Drosophila melanogaster: one gene and its partner. The protein of the gene in region 1 purifies or fractionates together with the protein of each later gene. This does not show direct contact. Each region holds a gene or a part of one and is shown on either strand. Other genes may lie near its edges.

Region 1 (3,757 bases):
TGAAAAGCTGGGCTGGCTGGCAGGTCCGTATGCTAGCGGTAAATTGCAGGGCAACAAAGTTGTAAACAAATCGTTAAAGTGCTGGAAATAACTGGGTTGGTGGTCTGCTGTCAGGCGGAATACATAAACCCTGACAGTTTTGGCCTAAGGAGTGAGTCCTTTTGAGCTTTGTCGAGCTTTTCGCGTGTGAATAACAATATGAGTGTTTGGATAATGACATATCAAATGACCGTTGGAGGGAAACGTAAGAGCTTAAGTAATCATTTCTTATTTTTTATTAACAATATTGTTTAAATATTTTGTTTGCTCGGAAGTCATTTAGTCAAGAGTAAATTGTGCATTCTAACGAAACTGAAACAGGTATATTTATCTATTTATATTTAAATATGCATAAATGCTTATTTTATTTCTGAAGTAAATTAAAAAAAATAGCTGTTCAAATCTATACCGGAAGTAGCATGCGCCACCTAGCGAGTAGCCCACGAAGCTTGTTCAAATGTCCGAAAAGCTCGCCTAATAAATTTGAAATGTAAACAAATGTTGTTGGAAAGCTTGTTGGCAACTCGGGCGGCAGCAACAACTACACAAAAGCAGCGATGTTAGCGGCAGAGAAATTGCAAAGCTTTGTGAGCAACAACAACATGATTTTTGTTTGCTCGCTTTGTTGTTGGTTCTGAGAGCGACAGCTGTTGTAGTGTCCGTGAGAGCGCAGTTTATGTTTGTGTGCGGTGCTGAGTAAGCAACTGTTGTTGTTTCAATGTTCCCTGAGAGTTAGAGCAAAGAAGAAGAAGAAGCGCACAATGGAATTATGATCACTGGAAATTCGCAGGTAAGTTTTCAGGTAAACTATTTGGGTTCCTGTGTTTTATTTTTTTTGTCAGAGTTACAGCGTAAAAAATGTGTATTTTCTATTTGCGACTGTCACCTGTTCACTAACATATTTTGGGGAAAACCAATTATACATGTTAATGGACGTGGAAATAAATAGAAACATTACCATTAGACAGTAATAATAAGCCTGAAGTTATATTCAACATAACAATCAACATACATATGTAAAAATTGTATTGCCCAACAAAAAGATCTTGAACATGATATATCTTTTGAAAATCCATTTGAATCAATCGATTTCGATCAGGATTACCTAGTAGTCCGCTGATCCTTTGAGAGATCCTTTCGGGGTGGGTGACTAGCCTCTAACGACAGGCAACACTCTTGATGCAGTGCAACTATTTTTGTTGGCCTGTGTCCCTTTCCTACCCTCCACAACCGACAACCAACTCATTGTATCTGTATCTTTGCATTTCGTACCGCGCAGTTGCCGTTTCTCCGACTCGAAAACACTCGTCATTCGTGTGCGTGTGCATTGTTTGTCTTATTTGTTGTTCGTTGCCAGCAACAACAATAAAAAGTTCCCTGCTGTTGAGCAGCCAGCTGTGTGTGTTTGTATTGGCGCATTGGTGTGTGTCCGTGTTAGTATCTGTGTGTGTGCGGCGGAGAGTGTGCGTTGTTCTCTGTTTGCTCGCCGTCCACTCGTGTCATGTTGTTGCTGTTGCTTCAGTGTTCTACGTAGCCGATAGATACTGGTTGATACACTGAGGGAATACGTGTTTAATTGGTACTTGTTTGAACCTCATAACTATTAAATTAATACCGCTTACATGGATCATTAATAAAGTCTGCAAATAATTTTATATTTTTCCCTTTAATTAAGTTTGGGGCTAATAATACATTACCAATTTAAAACATCTTTATATTACATTTCACAATTGCCAAGTGACAACTCTATTTCTCTCAGTGCACCGCTCGCTCTCGCAGGGCAGCAGTCGCATTTGTGGCTGTGTCTGTGTGTTTTTCTCTGTGTGCTTAGTCGCCTTGGTCGCTTGGTACGCGAAACATACGACATTGCCAACAATCCAACAGTCCGCCGCCGATTCCCGAGCGCCGTGCACCGTCGACTCGACCGCGAGTTTTCGAATTCAACATTTTTGAACGTTACGTCAGTCGTCGGTCGCTGCAGCAGCAGCAGCAACAAAAATATTTTTGGCGCCGTTTTATTTGTGTGCCGTGCATCGTGTCGTTTTGAAATCGCTGCGAGCAAGGAGTTGTTGCGTTTTGAAATCGCCTCTGCAACAGGAGTTTTTCTGTAATCCAACGACGAATACCAACCAAAAGGTAATGAATTCTTTGCTTGGAACAACATCACAAGTTAGGAACAACAGCAACAATAACAGCCTGATAAGCAGCAGAAAGAAAAATTCTATATGCCATATTGTTTCCTTGTGTGCGATTGCCTGTGAATGTGTGTGTGTATTGTGTGTATTGTTGTTGTTGTTGTTGTCTATCTAACAAAGTTATTGCGATTGTTGTTGTTGCTGTCATTGGGCCACGGAATATACAATATACTGTATGTATTTTTGTTGGTGGAGGGAAACAAAGAGCGGGCCGGGTATTTCTGCAAGTTTTCTGTGTTTTGTTAGCTTTAGAAATAAATTCTTTTTTTTTGTTGTTGTTTTTGTTTTCCGTTGGGTTTTGTGTTTGGCTGTTGCTGATTCTGTGTTTTTCGATTTGTACGTTGCTGTACTTTTTGCTGAGCCCCGTTGTTAATAGATAAACATGAACATTTCTCAAGGAATTAGTACGCGCTCATGCTGATATGTTTATGTTAAATAGACGTAATACAATAAATATTGCCATATAGCCCAGGTTAGTTGTTTTTCTGCCCCTTCCAGTCGCCATTCCCATTCCATTCCATTTTCCCCCCGCCCACACCGCACACAGCAATCCAACAATAACATTAACAAAAACAACAACGGGCAGAGCCAAAACACGCGAGCAACGTTCGCCTTGATAATGATGTTCGCTGATAATAATGATGACTGGCCAAAGAACACAACAATGCTGCCAGCGCACAGTGGGACCAAAGTGTTACGAAAATGGAAAGCAATATTAATTTTTTGTTTGGTTCAGCTTAGAGTGCTAGAGTTTTCTCTTGCTACTTTTTTATGTCCGAAAAAATAGAAAACTTATTGGACTCTGAACCTGATATTAAGATTAATAGTTGAAGGGAATTATTACCTACGATTTTCCAGAGATTTACTTACAGATGTCCAAAAAATATATATATACATATAAAATACCATCTAATAGGTTTCCAAGCAATGTGGAAATTGTTATTATATTTTTCCTTGATATACTTTTGGTAATGCCCTTTTTCGATTACTTCCATCCCACTGTGCGCACGTTTTTCGCTTTGCAAAACTGGTGGGCCCAAAAGGTGCTGAAAGTGGCGGGAAAACTGTCGGAGATTTAAGAGCGGCCCAAGTGTCGCCGCGATAGAAAGGGGCTGACGGCAAAAGGGTAGGCAGTCGAGTGAATGGACAGGTGGAGTGGGCTGATTAGAATCGAAACAGGTAGTCGCAGGTGCGAGAGCGAATCGTTTGCAAGTAGTGAGCAGTGAGTGCGGTGGGTACTCGCACACATATTCGTGACTATTCAGCGGATTTGGTTTTGGCCAACATGTTTTCGGATATTGCAACACAACATTGCTTGCTGCACTGAATTGCTGCTGCTGCAGCAGAGTGTTGCTGTTGTTGCTGAAGCATTCTGTTGTTGTTGTTACTGTTGTTTTGTTGCTGCTGCTTTAGTTGTGCTGTTGTTGCTGTTATCAGTGAAGCAGACAAAAGCTTTCAGCTTTCGACGCCAGCAGCAACAGCAACAGAAACAAACGGCAACAAAAACACAAACAAGCAGCACA
Region 2 (3,486 bases), 640 kb from region 1:
GTGTACGCCCTGTAGCAGGTTCCATCCGCATCGCGACCTGCTCGTCCAGCTCTCTGCCAGGCTTGCGCCTTAGATATTCGAACTGACTTTAAGACATCCAGTCCGTCGACGGTATTGAACGATTTCTCCTTCACAAAGCCACAGTCAATCACACAACGGATGCCCGGTATGGTGATCGACGTTTCTGCTATATTTGTGGCCAAGATTACTTTGCGTACGTTGGCCGGTGTCGGCACAAAACACTCCAATTGCTTGCCCTGCGATAGCTGAGCATACAACGTGAATACGCGGAGATCTGTTGTTCCAGTCGTGTCAATCTGAAATAGCGAGCAACTTATTTTTAATGATGTGCAATCTGTGGGCTGTACGACGATGGACTCACCTTGGCAAGCTGGCGTATTTGTTGGGCCAATGACTCGATTTCCTCTTGCCCGGTTAGGAATATCAACACGTCGTGGCTGTAATAAATGTACACATATATATAAATCAGTAAGTGTAAATATATATATCATCAGACCTACTTTTTCGGAGTGGTGCGGTGTATGTGAAAGAGGGTAACCAGCACGGTGTGGATGTAATCTTCGTGCTCCTCCTTGGTGTGCATCACACGGACCGGATACGTCCGTCCCTCCAGGTACATGCCCTTGCAATTAAAGTAATTTCCGAAGTGATCGATATCCATCGTGGCAGATGTAACCACTACCTTTAGGTTGGCCAACTTTTGCTTACGCCTCTCCTTTTGAGCATCTTTGACTATCCCGAATAGTAGGTCTGCGTTCACGGTTCGCTCGTGAGCCTCGTCCAGAATAATCACAGAATATTTGAGCAGTAGTCGATCCTTAATGGACTCGCGCAGCAAAACGCCGTCGGTAAGGAATCGAATCTTTGTGGCCCTTGAGGTGACATCCTCGAAACGCACCGTATAGCCCACCGTGTCGCCAATGGTTCCGTTCAACTCCTGGGCCACGCGACGTGCCACTGTTATGGCCGCCACTCTGCGCGGCTGGGTGATTCCGATCATTCCGTTCTTGGCGTAACCAGCCAGCAGCAGGAACTGTGGTATCTGTGTGGTCTTGCCCGAGCCCGTCTCGCTCATGATTAGCACGGTGTCGTTCGCTTCCAGTTCCTTGAGGATTCGATGGCGGCAATTAAAGACAGGCAGTGATTTTTGCTGCTGTTCAATGGAGGTTCTTTTGCTGGTCAGCAGAATGGGAGCTATTGTCTGCTTGATTTGGGCCACATGGGGTTTCTTCTCCAGTATGGGACTGTTCGCCATGGCATCGTACTTCCGCTTGAAGGAGAACTTCACAGGCGATGGACCTACAGCATCGTTTCTGCTGGTTGCAAAGTATTTGGAGTCCATTATTTACACTTTCGCAGCACGTTTCTTTGGAAGAAAAGTCAACAAGCACATTCAAGTTAAGGTTTTGTCTTCGATTAATACACTAAAACATTGATATATTTTTTTTAGATAAAATTATTGTTTAGTCGTTAGTGCCTACCAGTGCCACTTATTTTCCTAAGAGTTTTAGTTCCCCAGCCCGGAGAATTTTTTATAAAAGTTTCAGACGAAAGAAGAAAAGCAACAGGCGTGCGAAATACAGCAGGGTTGCCAGCGTCAGCGAAAATGGTATGTGTAAGTATATACTAAAATCCCCTTTTTAGTTTATAAAATATTTTAAAACAAATAGAAAATTTAATTCACATGATTAACTTCTATGTTATCCTACACAATTCATTTGTTTTTTTTTTTGTTTATTTGGGAAATTTTGTACTTCTCTGCATCGTTTACAAATGCAAAATATGCATAGTAAGGACTAACAATTCAAAAAATATTTATTTGAAATCGAGCCACTTTTAAACATTTCGTCCGAATCTCGAATATCAAACAATTAACCAGTGCCTTTATTTTGTTCTCTAAAATAAGGACAAAATATTCTATGGAAATTGCACTTAAAAGTTATTCTTACTCTCAACTTAATTTAAATAATTTAACATACGTTAATTCATAATACATAATTTTTGGTTTTCAAATTTTTCTTTTAGCTTTTCAGCGGCGAATTTCGTTTATGTTCTATCGTTTCGCATATTTTAAAGTTCTCTTGATCCGGTCACACTATTTTCGTAGAACAACAAACTTGAGATTGAAAAACATTTGTTTTTAGAAATATTGTCAAGACCATGAAGTCCGAGAAACTGAAACGAAACTTTTGGGTCTCCGCCGAAATAGAGTGCATGCTCGACCTGATTAAGGAGGTGAACAACTGCCAGGGAGCCCTGTCCACCAGCACCACCCAGTACACCTTCATCCAAATCGCCAATCAGATGAAAAAAAGGGGTTTTCCAAACAAGTCGCCCACCCAAATACGCAGAAAATGGTTTCAAATGAAGAGCGCCTATCTGTGTTACAAAAAGGGAAATGTTGATCGACTATTTCTGATACCCGAGAAATTCCGCAACGCCATCGCTGAGTTCGTAGAAAGTGGCGAGAAAATCGGACGTTCCAATCTATCCACCATTTCAAGTGGAACCCCAGCTATCGTGCAGCAAAATCAGGAAGGTTTGTATAATATATCATATATTGTTAATATAATATAATATAATATGTATTTTGCAGTACACTCAGAGGAAGACACTTCGCCCATGGATATATTCCTGAATCAGATCCGTAAAAACAATAAAATGATTAATTCGGAGTTCTTTAGGATGGAAGAATCGTTACAGCAATTCGAACAGAAATGCCAGTTTATTAGAGACAAAAACATAGCCAAGCTCATCGATGGTTATTAGCCAAATAAATATACAAATTCCAGATATATAGTAAATAAGTTTTAATAAAATGTAAGCAAAACTGATATATTTTTTGTTTATTTCGTATATAATGCATTGTTGTAAAGGTAGAAACACAATAAATGAGCACTTTATCACATATACAACTTCAACCCTCGCATCTCAAGTACTAAAAGCACTTTACTCTCATAAAAAGAAACTGGTTTTTATGTTGTTTTGTGTATATATATACATTTGCATACGTATTTATGTGCCTTAGTTCTTAATGTCTCCATTTGCCACCGCCACATAATATTTACTTTTCGAGTTCCATCTAAGTGGCTAAAATGGCATTGATGCGTCTTAAACTGAAGTTCACACTAAATATTGGTTTAATAACCGATCGGAGTTAAATAAATTTTTTAATTTAGTTTAATTAAATACTGAAGGATTTAAGCTGCAGCTCACATAAGCTACCATTGGCTACCAAAAAACCGGCTCCAATGCGAAAAACGCTATTACTTAATTGCGCTGCAAATATACAAATAGAAATCATTGGTATGTACCACACATTTCTGTGCACAAACTAGTTTATTTTTTTCTTTTAAGTGTACGTACGTATGAAATTCACAACAAGTCAAATTTGCCAGATAGTGTGTAAATGTACATTAATTTAAATGATCCAAACTTCATAATTAACTGTTTAAGTGTTATATT

The links.
Region 2: the proteins of brwl (region 1) and CG5727 purify together in Drosophila melanogaster (affinity purification with mass spectrometry, with the first as the bait; one large-scale study listed by BioGRID). This does not show direct contact.

What each region holds. Positions count from the first base shown.
Region 1 is NT_033779.5:9,567,024-9,570,780, forward strand, and holds the start of brwl (brickwall), read left to right. Parts: upstream 1-1,866; 5' UTR 1,867-2,175; intron 2,176-3,247; exon of another isoform or gene 3,248-3,757.
Region 2 is NT_033779.5:10,209,299-10,212,784, reverse strand, and holds CG5727 (uncharacterized protein), read left to right. Parts: upstream 1-2,103; 5' UTR 2,104-2,181; coding exon 2,182-2,560; intron 2,561-2,617; coding exon 2,618-2,790; 3' UTR 2,791-2,932; downstream 2,933-3,486. Other genes in the region: ath (athos), read right to left, coding at 1-317, 383-458, 522-1,363.